3 linked regions of the Macaca fascicularis genome follow. The protein of the gene in region 1 purifies or fractionates together with the protein of each later gene. This does not show direct contact. Links are inferred from orthologs where the notes say so. Each region holds a gene or a part of one and is shown on either strand. Other genes may lie near its edges.

Region 1 (7,288 bases):
GGAGAAACCTCGTCTCTACTAAAAATACAAAATTAGCCAGGCATGGTGGCGCATGCCTGTAATCCCAGCTACTCGGGCAGGCTGAGGCAGGAGAATTACTTGAACCCGGGAGGCGGAGGTTGCGTGCGGTAAACTGAGATCGCGCCATTGCACTCCAGCCTGGGCAACAAGAGTGAAACTCCATCTCAAAAAATAAAAGCTCCTCAAGCTCCCCAAGTGTGAGCCAAGTTTCAGAACCACTTATCTAGAAGGCAGCGGGAATAGAAAAGAATGCCAGTGTAAATTGCAAGTATAAAGGAATATTTTCCTTGATTTGGTAGTTAAATGGATAGGGGCAAGGGAAAAACAGCAAAGTCGAAGTTTTTATATGAAGAAAAGAACACTAAATCTGGATGGAATCCAGCAACCTGAGTTTAAGACCTGACAGAATTATTCATCTGTGTAAGGCAAGTCTTTTAACTCCTTTATGCCAGAATAACCTGATGTATAACCTGAAGTTGCTCTACATAATTCTTAGAGTTTTTATGAAGATTACTTGAAAAAATGAACATTACAAGCTTTTCTAATAAAACACTTTGAGACAAAATCAAAATCAAGATGGTATTATTTTGCATTTTAATTTTTAATTTTAAAAATTTATATTTTGAAATAATTTCAGATTTACTAGAGTTGCAAATATGGTAGAGTTCCTATATGTCCATCAAACTTCCTCAATTACAATGATTAAAACCAGGAATAAGATTGATAAAATACTATGAACTAAAATAGAGATTTTATTCTAATTTCATCAAATTATCTCACTGGTGTTCTTTTTCTGGACCAGGATTCAATCCAGGATCACACATTACATTTAGTTGTCATATCTCCTCAGTCTACCAATCTGAGATGGTTCCTCACCCCTTGTCTTTTTTTTTTTTTTTTTTTTTTTTTTTTTTTTTTTTTTTTTTTTGAGACGGAGTCTCCCTGTGTCTCCCAGGCTGGAGTGCAGTGGCGTGATCTCGGCTCACTGCAAGCTCCGCCTCCCGGGTTCACGCCATTCTCCTGCCTCAGCCTCCCAAGTAGCTGAGACTACAGGCGCCCGCCACCACGCCCGGCTAGTTTTTTTTTTTTTTTGTATTTTTAGTAGAGACGGGGTTTCACCATGTTAGCCAGGATAGTCTCGATCTCCTGACCTCGTGATCCACCCGCCTCGGCCTCCCAAAGTGCTGGGATTACAGGCTTGAGCCACCGCGCCCGGCCCACCCCTTGTCTTTCATGATCTTGACACTTGGAGATACTGGCCAGTTATTCTGTAGATTGTCTCTCATTTTGGATTTGTCTGATGTTTCCTCATAATTCAATTCAGTTTATGCAGGCTGGGCATGGTGGCTTATGCCTGTAATCCCAGCACTTTGGGAGGCCGAGGTGGGTGGATCACCTGAGTCAGGAGTTCGAGACCAGTCTGGACAACATGATGAAATCCCATCTCTACTAAAAATACAAAATTTGCCGGGTGTAGTGGTGCATGCCTGTAAATCCAGCTACTTGGGAGGCTAAGGCGGGAGAATCGCTTGAATCCAGGAGGCAGAGGTTGCAGTGAGCCGAGATTGCACCATTGCACTCCAGCCTAGGCAACAAGAGCGAAATTCCATCTCAAAACAAACAAACAAACAAAATACAAAAAAAATCAGTTTACGCGTATTTGTCAAGAATGCCACAGAAGTGATTTTGTGCGCTTCTCATCGCATCATGTTGAGAGGCACTTGGTAATACCTCTCAGCGGGGGGCAATGGCTCATGCCTGTAATCCCAGCACTTTGGGAAATCAAGGTGGGAGAACGGCTTGAACCCTGGAGTTCAAGATCAGCCTGGGCAACACAGCAAGACCCTGTCTCCTTAAAAAGAAGAGGGAGGCTGGGAGTGGTGGCTCATGCTGGCAATCTCAGCACTTTGGGATGCCAAGGCAGGCAGATCACCTGAGGTCAGGAGTTTGACAGCAGCCTGGCCAATACAGTGAAACCCCATCTCTACTAAAAATACAAAAATTAGCCAGGCGTGGTGGCACGAGCCTGTATTCCCGGCTACTCGGGAGGCTGAGGCGGGAGAATTGCTTGAGCCCAGGAGGCAGAGGTTGAAGTGAGCCTGAGGTGGGAGAATTGCTTGAGCCCCGGAGGCAGAGGTTGTAGTGAGCCGAGATCTCGCTACTGCACTCCAGCCTTCTGTCACGCCCCACCCCTACTCCCGCAAAAAAAAAAAAAGGAGAAGAAAACAATACCTCTCATGACTACTGATGTTAACTTTGATCACTTTGTTAAGGTGGTGTCTGCCAGATTCTTATCTGTAAATTTGCTATTTTTTACCTTTGTAACTAGTAGGTGTCTTGTGGGGATTTATTTTGATACAAGGCTACAATTTTGATTCCAAGTGACTAGAAGAACTATGGACAGAAATAGGGAGATTAGACATAAATAAAGGGCTTAGAGCCCATAGACCGGTGTCTGGGGAACTGGTAGGGGTGAAGCATCGGTATGAAGGTGCTCTGGGTTGGCTTCAAATGCTGAAGTGAGATGTGGCTTGCAACCAGCGCGTGAGGATGGCGCATCCGCTGAATAGGGTCTTCAGGAAAATATTAGTGGCTCTGCGAAGGTTTCCCCAGAGCCCTTGCCCTCCCCTGCCAGCGCCGCTTTGGAAGCCGTCGGGGCGGCTGCACCCGTCAGGACTCCTCAGTGCGGGTTTTTGGCGGCAAATGACCAACGTGCGACCGCGCGATACGGGTGGGTCAATGCGCACGCGCCGAAAGGAGGCGCGGGGCGGGACGCGGCGCAGGGGTGGGGCCGCAGCGCGCATGCGTCCTAGCGGCGGGTCCCTGCGGCTCGGGATGGAGGGTGAGTGAGTAAACAAGCCTGGGCCGAGCGGTGGGGCCGGGCCTCCTCCCCTCGCCGCCCTGGGCCTGAGGGAGGGAGAGGCGGAGGGATCAGGGAATTGGAAGGAATTCGAGGGACACACTGCCTCTCTGGCCGGGGGTAGCAGGCGCCCCTTCTCATTCCGAGGGCTAGGGGAATGGGGGCGACGGGGCGAGGGAGCCCCAGGCGAGGACAGCGTCTGGGACTACGAGGGCTGTGTGCCCGGGAGGAGGAGCGGCGGGGGCGGGCTCGGGGACGGGGAATCCCGTTGGACGGCGGGGTGGGACGATGGGCGGGAGCCCCAGCGCCCAAAGGGCGCGGGTGGGCGGTGGCACCTGCGGGGGCCTTTAGCGAGGTGGACTCTGGGGACCTGGAGCTGTGCTTGGGTGGGGGCTAGAGACCGGGGCTGATCTTGCGATGGCTTTCGGGGCTGTTGAGGAGGGGGTAGCAGTAAAAACAGGGCCGGGACTAGGGTGAGGTGAGTGAGTCAGGCTCCCAAGGCACAAAGTGTAAAGGAATACTGACTCAGGGTCGTGCAAATGCAGTGAGCGCCTCCTCACGTGCGTCCTGGGTGCCTCGGTCCCCTCGCCTGGGCCTGGCCCTGAGCAAGAATCTCCTTCACTCCAGACTTTTGGTCTCACGCCAATGATCGCTCACCCCCACCATTCTCCCGAGGATCAAATGATATAAATAAAAGTGCCTCGAAGCAAAGACAAGGTGTTGTATTTGGGACATGCCTGTTAGGAAATGTGGGACAAACTTTTATTTCAATAAAAAGTGACTACTGAGGAATTGTTTCTTGAGCAGGGAAGGGAAGGGATGCCTGAAGGATGTTAGTGCCCCCAGGGAATGTGAAGGAATATGGAGGGTGAAATGTAGGGTTGTAAATGGTGTAGCCCAGGCCGATAGGAACCTGACGCTTGGCAGGGGAGGATGTCAAAGAGCTCAGGCAGACTAGCAATTAGGGGTGTGCAAGGATGGCATTGAAAACGTGGGTCTCCTCCGCGTTTGCTGCCATGCTGCCGTTGAATAGAAAAATTCCCACACTCAGTGTTTTTTAAGTTTAGGAAGCTGATATTGAAGGAGGTTTCTAGCCTGAGAGGTGCTAACCCTATTAGAGGTTTCTGTGAAAGCTTGTCTATTTTAAGTCTCGGAATCCCCAGATATGCCATTGATAAAAGAGATTACTTACATAGGAGAGAGTGTGTGTTAGGAGATAAGTACTTTAGGCTGGGCTCGGTAGCTCACATCTGAAATCCCAGCGTTCGGGAGGCCCAGGCAGGAGAATAGCTTGAGCCCAGGAGTTTGGGATCAGCCCAGGCAACAATAGTGAGACCTCATCTCTACAAACAAACAAACAAACAAACAAACAAAAAAACTAGCCAGGTGTGGTGGGCTTCTTCTATAGTCCCAGCTCCCAGCTACTTGGGAGGCTGAAGCAGGAGTATTGCTTGAGACTGGGAGGTCAAGGTTACAGTGAGCTCTGATCCCGCCACTGCACTCCAGTCTGGGTGACAGCGCGTGAGACCCTGTCTCAAGGAAAAAAAAAAAAAATGGGCGCAGTGGCTCATGCCTGTAATCCCAGCACTTTGGGAGGTTGAGGTGGATGGATCATTTGAGCCCAGGAGTTTGAGACCAGCCTGGGCAACATGGTGAAACTCCATCTCTACTAAAAATACAAAAATTAACCAGGTGTGGTGGCACACGCCTGTAGTCCCAGCTACTCGGGAGGGCTGAGGCATTAGAATCGCTTGAACCTGGGAAGTGGCAGTGAGCCGAGATGGCGCCACTGCACACCAGCCTGGGTAACAGAGTGAGACTCTGTCTCAAAAAAACAAAAAAGAGGCCAGGCACAGTGGCTCAGGCCTGTAATCCCAGCGCTTTGGGAGGCCGAAGCAGGCGGATCAGTTGAGGTTAGGAGTTCGAGAGCAGCCTGGGCAACATGACGAAACTCCTTCTCTACAAAAAAATATAAGAATTAGCTGAGTGTGCTGGTGGGTGCCTGTAATCCCAGCTATTCAGGGGGCTGAGGCACAAGAATTGCTTGAACCCGGGAGGTGGAGGTTGCAGTGAGCCAACATTGCACCACTGCACTCCAGCATGGGTGACAGAGAAAGATTCTGTCTCAAAAAAAAAAAAAAAAGGGAGAGAGAAGTATTTAAAAATGCACATACATAATAGGAGAAAGGACCATTTATAAAACTGTAATAATGCTATCATTGTCAAGGTTTATGCTTAGTGTTGTGTATCACAAACATAATGAGTCAACTCCAAAGGCAGGGATGTATGTTTTATTCAATGATGTACCCCAAACACCTAAAACAGTAACACATAGTAGACACTACTATTAAGTATAATAGTAGGTGCTCAACATATATTTGTGGAATAAATTGTGGGGAAATTTCTGGCACTGGGAGTCAGGTGATCTGGATGCTAGTGTTGTCAGTAACTGGCAGAGTACTTGTATGTCAATCGTGGAACTTGATGCTAAGGCCCAGCTTAAAATTCCTTAAAGTGTAAATGACTTCTTCATTAGTGCCCTCTGAAACAGCACTAGAGGCCGGGCTTGATGGCTCACACCTATAATCCCAGCACTTTGGGAGGATGAGGCTGGTGGATCACCTGAGGTCGGGAGTTCAAAACCAGCCTGGCCAATATATGGTGAAACCCCATCTCTAAAATACAAAAAATTAGTCAGGCATGGTAGCGGACACCTATAATCCTAGCTCTTGGGAGACTGAGGTGGGAGAATCGCTTGAACTCGGGAGTGGGAGGTTGCAGTGAGATCACGCCACTGCACTCCAGCCTGGACACAAAAGAGTGAGACTCCGTCTCAGGGAAAAAAAAAAAAAAAGAGACAACACTAGAATGAGGCTGGAACTAAAAATGAAATTTTACTCCCAAGGAGACATTTGGGAGAAGGGAAAGATGAGAAAAATGTGGTCGGGCTTGTTACTTATATATTTGCCTTTGAATTATACCTTCAAACAACCGATTTCAGTCTAGACATGTGGCTCACGCCTGTAATCCCCGTACTTTGGGAGGCTAAGGTGGGCAGATCACTTGAGTTCAGGAGTTTGAGACCAGCTTGGGCAACATGACAAAACTCTGTCTCTACAAAAACATTACAAAAATTAGCTGGGCCTAGTGGTGTGGGCCTGTAGTCTCAGCTACTCAGGAGGCTGAGTAGGGAGGATTGGTTGAACCCGGGAGGCAGAGGTTGCAAGCCACTGCATTCCAGTCTGGGCAACAGAGCAAGACGCTGTCTCAAAATCAAAACAAAATAAGAAACCGATTCAGAATATTAATTTTGTCTATTTTTAATTCCTAGGATCTGAAACCTGGCTTCCTTACTCTATAGGCAACAGTTCCTTCCCTTTGATTTGCTCTTTATATGAAACATGTAACAATTCATGTCATTAAGTATGTCTTTTTCTGGTCTTGGACTAAGTTTAAAAAGTTTCACTTTGGGTCCCCCACACTGTGGCTCACGCCTATAATCCCATCTCTTTGGGAGGAGGCCGAGGGATTGATCACTTGAAGCCAGGAGTTTGGGACCAGCCTGTCCAACACAGTGAAACCCCATTTCTACAATTAGCTGGGCCTGGTGGCACACACCTGTCATCCCAGCTACTTGGGAGGCTGAGGAACGAGAATCCCTTGAACCTGGGAGGCGGAGGTTGCAGTGAGCGGAGATGGCGTCACTGTACTCTAGCCTGGGCGACAGAGGGAGACCCTGTCTCAAAAAAAAAGTTTCCACTTTGTTCACTAGTAGCATCCCAGAAAAGATTTGAGGTAGCAACACTAAAAACACACTAATTCCATTTCTACATAGAATAAAATAAAGAGAAAAGGGAGAACAATGTGTGGAGAAAAGTGAAGATAATTAGATAAGTTGGGATTGAGGGGAAGGGTTAAAAGTTAAAAAAAAGAAAAATTGTGCTTCTCCATTCTGGAAAGTCCCTCGCTTTTCGTTTGTTTGTTTTCTGTCCAAACTGTGTACATATTAGATTCTTTCCTACTCTTTAGTCTATCGGTCAGTCATCAGTTGGGACTTGAGTACACTACACCCTAAAGTCATGAGTTACTTAATGGGTAGTTGGAGTTCAGTATCTTTAGTGTGTTTTATTCTCTAACTCACCTACCCTACTAATTTGATTCAAAATAGATGAAAAAGTCTTATTTTTATTGGACGGTATGAGCAGTCACTAAATGCAGTACAGTATTAAACTTTGGGCTGACATAGTACAGAACCAGTCAAGATAGTGCTCTGACCTGTTAGGAGATTTCTTTTACTCTTCCAAGTCAGCGTTCTGGCTGGGCACAGTGGCTCACATCTGTAATCTCAACACTTTGGGAGGCTGAGGCAGGGGGATTGCTTCAAGTCAGGAGTTCAAGGCCTGCCCG
Region 2 (4,300 bases), on another chromosome or scaffold:
ACAAGCCTCCCCACAGGTTTGATCACCACTAATCTGCAGATGAGGAAACTGACCAGCTCAGAGTGGCTCTCAGTTGCCTTTTGGGAAGTGGCCAAGGTGCGATTTGAATCCAGGTCTCTTACCTCCAGTTTCTGAGACCTTTCTAGACACCAAGGTTATCTCTTCAAATACTGCTGCAAGTAAACAGCTGTGTTACTCGAGTATCTAGACTTTTGAAGTAAGCAGACTCTAGGGAATGGGTAGAGTAAAATATATGGGTATGTGCTCGAGGGAGCGCTTCTGCCACGTTTTATTCCGAGGCTAGCCTGAGAGATCATGGAAAACATTGCTTCTCCAAAACCGCAGCGAAAAACAAGGAAATTAACAAGGCAGAATGGCGATGCGAGACTTGACAAAGTTGTTAATAAGGCGAAGGCCCAAAGCGCTACGCCAGGGCCTGCTACTTCATTTGTTTCAGCGATTAAACCTGCACGTCAGGGGGCTCGAGGCAGGTAAAAAGCAGGCTCTCGTGTGGCCCCGGCAGTTGATATTACTGGCACTCGGTGTTCGAGATGCTTCCTTACAGCTGCGTTTCTGTGCGGCTTGGTCTCCATATTCCACTCATTTTTGCCTCAACATTTCGTGGTATTTTATCACCAAATACGCCCGGCAAAGCAAAGATCCCGTTCAGTTTCTTTAAACACGGCTATCTTTTCTCAGGAGGCAGCCGCCAGGGCTTCACTCCTGGGCCATCAGCAACGTCCCCCAAGCGGGTCGGGCGGAAACGCGTTCGTGACCGAGGGGCCGCGTGCCGAGCTCGGGCGTGGGGGGGCGTGGCCCTTACACTCGGCGACCCCTGGCCACCGCCCACCCCGCGCGTGGGGGCGTGCGCGGCTGCGGGGCGCGGAGAGGAGTGACCTCGGACTACCCTAGGCGCCCGCAGCACGCTCTGTACACAGACGCGAGGCGCTGTCCTGAGGTGACACCGGCTGCACGGCACAAGCAGCAGGCGCCGCCGATCAACTAGTTCGCACCGAGGATTCCTCTTGGTGCGTGGCCCAGTTTTCCTTAGGACGGGCTCCAACCCCTCCCTGACACCGCCCCCCTCGCCGCCACGCTCCGAGGCCTTCCCCGGGGAAGCCTCGCGTCCCTCCCCCGCGGCTCCGGGCCGCACGCGCGCGATTCCTCGATTCCACAGGCGGTTCGCGCCGCGGGTGGGGGCGGGGCGCGCGGGGAGGGGGCCGGCGGCCGCCAGGGGAGGGGGGCCGGGGCCCAGGGGACGGAGGGGGGCCGGCGTGGGGAGTTCCTCGCTCGCGGACCACACGCTCCGCGGGCCAATCCCGAGCCAGCCTCTAGCAGTGTCGCACGCGGGACACGTCCAAGCGTTTGTTGGCACGGCCGGTGAGGGGGAGGGGGCGAGGAGGAGGGAGGGGAGTTGAGTGACAGGCTTTGCGGGGCAGGCTGGGAATTGTAGTTCCCAGCTTCCGTGGCCATAGCCATTTTGTAGTCGGGGGACTACAACTTCCAGAAGATCAAGGGGACCATTCTAAGGTGCCCCGGGAATAGGCGGCTCTCCCCGGGGCCGGGCGTCCTGGGGCACTCCTACCCAGCAGCCCGGCTGCAGGTAGACGCGAAGGCAGTGGCGGGGGCTGGCGTGGGGCGGTCGTGGGGTGAGCGGCAGGCAGGGGAAAGGGGGTGAGGTGGAGCGACGGAGCGTGCCATGCATTGAGCTAGGGAGCCTCTCTCAATTCCACGCCTGGGCTCGGCGTGGGAGCGACGCCCGAGGGCTTGCCTGGGAGGGGTTCGTCGAGGTCGCTCGGGTGTCTGGTTGGCCAGGCTGCGGGGGTGCCCTGGACTGGGCCAGGGGCGGTCGGCACCGGGCTAAGCGGGCGCCTGGCGGCTGAGCGGTGGGAGTTTTCGGCTGGCGCCCGGCGGGGAATTATCCGAGGAGCCCTAACTTGTATAAAAGCAGAGTCCATTTAAAGTTGGGCTGGATAGCCTCTCTCTCATTGGTTAGGGGGCTTGGAAAAAAGAGACTCGGCGAGCCCTCGCTGTGGTGCTGCCGCCGCCGCCGCCGCCGCCGCCGCCGCCGCCGCTGGAGTTGACTCTTCTGCTCGCACTGCTGCTGCAGCACAAACGTGACTTCCAACATTTTTTATTTATCTTTCCCTTTTCTTTTCCAAGATGTAACTACGGATCAGACACTAAGGACCTTCACGTTTCGCTGATGTAGTTTTTGGAGGAAAAAGGGGGGGGAGTGAAGGGCGTCGGTTTTTTTTTGTGTGTGTGTGTATGTGTTTCGGGGGAAATTTTCCATTATGAGTGTTTTACTAAAGTGAATTTTTTTTTGTTTGCTTCGTTCGTCTTTGGCTCTTTTTTTTTCCTTCCCAATTTCGGATTTATTTCAAGGCGAATCTGGCTTTGGGGGAAGAGGAAGAAAAGTCGGATTACAAGATCAACCACCACCAACAACAATAAAAACCACCAGGATATTTTTTTGCAAATTTCTGACGGCTTTAAATTCATGAAGCAATTGTCCCCTTTTGCAATCAGCATTTGGATCTCAGAATGAGCAAGGAAAGACCGAAGAGGAATATCATTCAGAAGAAATACGTAAGTGCTCCTAACAACACATCCTTTGACTTGCAGTTTTAAGCAATGGCTGTGAATGTCAAGTTTATAGATAATTCTGCAGCTGAAGGGTTTTAAACACAGCGTCCGATAAGGCTGTTTCTTTCTTTTCTGAAAGAGGGCTTTTCAAGCGAAGTGGTGTCTGCCTAGTTTGGTTGAAAAAACAGATTGGTGTAGAGATACCTCAAGTGAATAAATTGACCTCGAATGACACAACCATAATCTAGTTTTAGATGAAAGGCAAGGGATTTTGGTGGAGCTTGAGGTGGGGGGGCGGCTGCGGTAATGTAACTAAACTGCATTCTCAAGCGGATTTGGCCCCGTATTGCACTTTGCATGCAAATGAGCCTGTGTTATTATTATTAATGTTATTTGGAAAAATCGTGTAACTCATGTGTGTTGGAAGCCCTTTAAGTTGCGATGGAGGGTCCGATTATGGCGATCTTCTCTTTGCATTGGCACATCAAATTTAACGTCTGTGGTCGTTTTGGCTTATCTGGTTTACAACATAAACCAGTTGGGAATCATGTTACAGCGAATGCATTTGTTGGGATTGACTTTAATAATGAGGCTGGTTTTGTTTAAAAAATTCATGATTTCCAGTTGTAGGGGAAAAGGACACACACTATGGCTAATGTTTTTAAGTGTGTACGTGAATGTATATGTAAGTAACTACAAATATTTTCTCCCTGTTAACTGGGCTTCTGAAATTGGGTGATTATTCACAGATTTAAATGGCTTGGAATAGTTAAATTTGTTTTGTGCATAGTACAGCTACGTTTTGATTGGCATGGGGAGTGTTTTTGTTTTGTGTGTGGTGGCTTTTTTTTTTTTTTTAAGTTTGAGGGGAGGGAGGAAGGGGGGACCGAGCGATTAACCAAATATGCACTCGAGTGATCTGTGATCAGCGGCATGCTTTAAATTAAATAACTCATTTTTTTCAAAAAAGGCCAAATGAACATACCTTAGGGATAATGCAACGTAAGAGGAAAGTTTTATTTAAGTTGGGTAGACAAATTGGTGTTAATATTTTCCCTTTTTGATCATTGTGGTGTGTGTAATGAGAGATGACCTTCGGGGCACTGGTTTTGTAAAAATATATTTAATGGAAAAGCTGAATGCTTCTTCAAGAGAGCTGATCCTTATCTAGACACGTCAACTTCAACTATGAAAGAAATGCAAGGTTAAATAATCAAGCCCAACTTAGAATGCTGTTCCATAAAGAATTTAAGAATTAAAATACATCCGCATTGCAGAGGGCTGGGTAGAATGCAAAGGACTAGTTTAAACTCAGGCTGTAGAAACTGCACGGAGGCAACCTTGCCTCGGAGCGTAGACGCCTTCCCGGGGCACGTCCGTTTCGGATGCAGCCACAAAGCAAATGGGGTAGAACTTGGACGAGAACCGCACCCCGCCTCCCATTCCGGACCTCGTTGAGGTGGACAGCAGCGTGGGGTGGGTTTTCTTTTTTATTGCGGGCAGTCAGCGGATCGTGTCTCCGAGTCCGGACGTCCGGCTGCAAGCCCGTGGCTGGCGGCGGCCGCGGGAGGCACGGCACGAGTTAATGCTTCGGGAGCAGAGCCGGTGTTCCCGACGTGCTCGAGCCGGCTGCGAAGGGGACGGCGCGCGGGGGTCGCGGCAGGCTGGGCCTGGGGCTGGGCGGGCGGGGGGGCGCGCGCGCGCGCGGCCT
Region 3 (4,297 bases), on another chromosome or scaffold:
TACAGGGGTGAGCCACCACGCCCGGCCCATCAATTTTTAATTCAGACACTTAATTCTTTGAATCCTTTTCCCCCAGAATCGAAAGGCCCCACAGAGGCCACATCTGGTCAACCTCCCATAGTTTGCAGACATTCTCTCTTAGAGGCCCCGAGATCCTCTGCTTGTCCACAAGCAGCATTTCCCTCCCAGGTGGACCCCTGAGGTCCCCCTTTGACTAGAGTACCCTGTGTCCCACAGCTTCCGCCTGTCTAGTGGAAGTTGGAGGACAGCAGCTCTGCCCCCAGTAAGTGAGAGACTTACAGGCATGCCGGGTTAAAAAACAAACACGTAAAAGATCGTTCCCTGCTCTTACAATCTAGTTGAGAGTCGGGCCATAAAAAGGGACCCTAGGCCAGGTGTGGTGGCTCACGCCTGTAATCCTAGCACTTTGGGAGGCGGAGGTGGGTGGATCACCTGAAGTCAGGAGTTCGAGACCAGCCTAGCCAACATGGTGAGACCCTCCTCTGTACTAAAAATACAAAAATTAGCTGGGCGTGGTGGCGGGCGCCTGTAATCCCAGCTACTCAAGAGGCTGAGACAGGAGAATTGCTTGAACCCAGGAAGCAGAGGTTGCAGTGAGCCGAGATTGGGCCATTGCACTCCAGCCTCGGTGACAAGAGTGAAACTCCATCTCAAAAAAAAAAAGGACCCTAACACATAAAGAGATTTTTGAGGTGTTAAACCCAAACCAACAAGGTGGAGAGTCTCATCCCTCCCTCCACCATCAGTCCTACAAGGTTAAGACATCTGACAGAGAAGGAGCCTTTGTCAAATTGGTAGTTCGCAAAAATAAAGGTTGTGTAGCTTTTAATCTAAAATTCTACCCCAACACTAAGTTCCGTAACTATTTTGATTAATATATTCTTAAGGATTTAGCGACTCTGTGTGTGTGTGTGTGTGTGTGTGTGTGTGTGTGTGCGCGCGCGCTTAGACGAAAACAGAAACGGTTCCTTAAAATACCCAGTTTGTGAAAGCAAAGGGCCTGGAACCACTTAGTACTATCACTTTGATCAAGTACTATCAAGTACTATCACTTGATTGCTTCAACCCAATAAGCTTGGGAGAGCCTGGCACTGTGCTAGGATCTTCTGGAGAAATCCAAGAATGGTAAGACTTGGGTTTTACTGCTCTTCACCTCACTACTCGGATCTCAGGCAGGCAGGGGACCAGGGTGGGGGCTCCAATTCCCGGTTCGTGTTTGTTTTTTCAGGGGGCATTTTACTGAGCACTAAATACGCGCAGGTGCTGCACTAGGTGCCAGGAGCCCCGCACGCGGAGGAGCGGCGTGCACGCGTGTCAGTTAACTGGGCGCACAGTGCCCGTGGCGCCGCAGACCCAGCCCTCGGACTCAGTTTCCCCGCATGGGGATCGCTCGCCCCGCCCGCGGCGGGCCGCGGAGCAGCAGCCCCCCGCCCCGGCCCTGCCTTCCAGGTTTCCGCCCGCGCGGCTGCGTCCTCCACACTCCACCGGAAGCTCCCGGCAGGGCCGCGGGTAGGTGGTGGCGGAGGCGGCGACGAGGTTGGCTGCTCTGCACCCCTGCCCCAGGACAGCAGGGCGGCTCCCCGGCCCCCTTCCTCGTCCTGGACGCCCCGCTCCAGCTCCCCCTCGCTGAAGCGGGGACTCCCCGGGCGCAGCCGGGGACATGGAACCTCGGCTGCAGAGCCGGCCCCTGGACTCACTGCCCCCAGCCCAGCGGCAGGCGCCCCGGCCGCCCGGCGGCTTATTCCTGCTTCCGCGGGCACCGGCGCTGCCTGACTCCCAGCGCTGCGCTCGCAACTGGATATGTTGAGGTGGCGACGCGACGCTCCCCCGCCCTCGGGAGGGATCACCGACTGGGCTGGGGGCTCAGACAGGCAACCCGGCCTGCAGAGCCGGGCGGCGGGGGCTGTGCTGGCGCCGGCAGGCGAGAGGAATCACAGAGCGGGGCGCCCAGCCTCATCATGGGGCCCACAAAGACTTCCCATGGGAGTGGGGTCTAGTGCAGGGGCGCCCCGAAGGACGAGTGGGAGATGGGGACACGCGGCGCAGAGAGACTTCTCGTGGATGGAGCCGATGGAGGCCCAGTGTGGAAGAGAAAGGGGTCAAGGAGACGAATAAGGAGCCACCAGAGACGCAGGGGGAATTCCCCCCAGAGGATGCGGGAAGCCGGGGAAAGGAAGGGAATCCGGAAGGAAGGGCTGAGAGCCGGTCAGGTGCTGGCAGAAGGGCTGGTTGGATAGAGACTGGGACGGGCCCAGAGCATTTGGCGTCCTCGACATTCATATACACTTGGAGAGATGATTCCCTGGAGATCCAAGTGCCTGTATAGACAATCTTTTCTAGGGGTTCTACAATTAAGAACCCCTAGGAGAGGGGTTCTTAAGTGAGGAGAGGGTAGATGTAGAAATTGGAGACGAGAATAGAGTGTTGTAAAGGCATGCGTGGTTAGAGAACTGGCTCTGGATTCAGGAGTCCCCACTCACTAGCTGTGAGACCTTCAGCAAGTCACTTAGCCTCTCTGTGCCTCGGTTTTCTCATCTCTAAGGTGGGGATGATGATGGCCATACCTGCTTCATAGAGTGACAATTAGATGAGATGATGTCTGTAAAATTACATAACACAGCACCCAAAAGTAGTACTAGTTATTTTTCCCTTTTCTTATTAGAGCAGCTTGGGCACATTTTGATGTCCGTGGGAATGAACAGGTAGAGTGGGTGGTATTGAAGCCAGAGGGGAGAGAAGGGACCCACAGATGGGGAGAGAAGTCTTGGGTGTTTGTTTTATCTCAAACCCCAGGGAAAGGAGGGAACAGGTAGGGCTGTAGGAAAGTTTGCAGCTATGGGGTACACAGTTAAAGGGAGTGTCTTCTCATGGTCTTGATGCAGGCCTGGAGGTCGTTTGCTATAGGGGTGAAGGTCCTGATGTACACTGTGGCTGTAAGATGCCGTGCCCTCTTTGCCACCAGCCTGTGGCAGCCCCGGTGTTACACCAGGGCAGGTGGGCAGTTTAATGTATCTCAGGTCCGATGACCTGCACTGCCCACCTGTGAGGCTCCAGTAGATAGATGTGAAAACACAGTGTAAGCATAATGTCCCACTTTCATCCTTTTCTCTGAGGAGCTGGAAGGCCTGTAGTCACCATCTGAGCCAAATGTCAAAGTCTTTCAAGTACTTCACTTGGGCTACACACCACACTTTGATCCACGATCTCATTTAGTCATCACAACAGTTGGGTGAAATAGGTATTATTGTCCCATTTTACAGATGCAGAATCTGAGTTTCAGAGAAGTTAAGGACTTTGTCCCAGGGCCCGCAGTTAGTAAGCAGTGGACCCAGGATTTCAACTCAGCTCTGTCTGACCTCAAAACCCATGATCTGAAACCAATGTGAAAGTTTGCAAAACCTCTGTAGCAGCTGAACTCGATGGAAAGATATGTAGGGATCATCTTCTCCATTTAATAGATGAGACAAGAGCTGGGTACTCTGATCTCCATCAGAGATCACACGCACAGAGCTTGGGGCCCCACAGCCCTGGAGTGAATCCTGCTCCACCACCAGAGGCTGTGTGCCTTTGGACCAGGCATCTTGCTTCTCTGACCCTATGTACAGCTGCAGAAGAATTCCTTGCAGGTTGCTGTAAGGATTTGGAGGGAAACTGTTGCCCAGCACACAGTACACATGCCAGGAGCCATCGTTTCCAAGGTGTACTTCTCCTGCAAACGTGGATCTACGTCCCACTTGGCTGCTGAGACCAGCTGCCGTGATCTTGTAGTTGTTTAATGCTTTGTTCTCCTTGAGGCAGCAAAGTGGTGGCACCTGACCGGAGCATGTAGCCACCTATGACTTCCTGAGTGGGGTGGTGCAGGGAGGGCCCTGAGGAGTCTGTGGTCCTAAGGCCTTGGATTTCATCAGGGCTTTCCTGCTCCTTCTGGTTGCCTCAGTCCCAGGCAAGATAGGGTCCCAGAATCTTACAGCCTAGAAGCCACCTGTTGCGACTTCTTTTTTACAGATGGGGTCATCAGAACCCACTGTGAGGAAGTGACTTCTCTTTGAGATCATCCAGACACTCCACACAGAGCAGAGCAAAAGTGCCTAGAACTTGAAATTTTGGACTTGCCTTCAACACCCTGGGGATTTCCACCAGGAAGGTGAGCACCCCCACTGAGAATTCCAGGCTGCTCAGAGGTGCCAGGGAACACAGACCAGGGGCCAGCTATGGCCTTCTCCTCCGATGTGCCCAGGGAGGTGGGGGAAGCCAGCGGCAGCCTGCGATTCTCAGC

What was found.
Region 2: the proteins of EZH1 (region 1) and JARID2 purify together in Homo sapiens (affinity purification with mass spectrometry; 4 studies listed by BioGRID and IntAct, with this or other methods). This does not show direct contact. The link is inferred for Macaca fascicularis from reciprocal best matches to the Homo sapiens genes EZH1 and JARID2.
Region 3: the proteins of EZH1 (region 1) and PHF19 purify together in Homo sapiens (affinity purification with mass spectrometry; 4 studies listed by BioGRID and IntAct, counting the BioPlex papers as one, with this or other methods). This does not show direct contact. The link is inferred for Macaca fascicularis from reciprocal best matches to the Homo sapiens genes EZH1 and PHF19.

The regions. Positions count from the first base shown.
Region 1 is NC_088390.1:63,798,773-63,806,060, reverse strand, and holds the start of EZH1 (histone-lysine N-methyltransferase EZH1), read left to right. Parts: upstream 1-2,832; 5' UTR 2,833-2,863; intron 2,864-7,288.
Region 2 is NC_088378.1:157,706,535-157,710,834, reverse strand, and holds the start of JARID2 (protein Jumonji), read left to right. Parts: upstream 1-1,500; 5' UTR 1,501-1,603; intron 1,604-1,987; exon of another isoform or gene 1,988-2,016; coding exon of another isoform or gene 2,017-2,131; exon of another isoform or gene 2,132-2,388; 5' UTR 2,389-2,547; coding exon 2,548-2,592; intron 2,593-3,857; exon of another isoform or gene 3,858-4,065; intron 4,066-4,300. Other genes in the region: uncharacterized protein, read right to left, coding at 686-1,500, 2,017-2,131.
Region 3 is NC_088389.1:37,054,057-37,058,353, forward strand, and holds the start of PHF19 (PHD finger protein 19), read left to right. Parts: upstream 1-1,497; 5' UTR 1,498-1,530; intron 1,531-1,532; exon of another isoform or gene 1,533-4,026; 5' UTR 4,027-4,165; intron 4,166-4,297.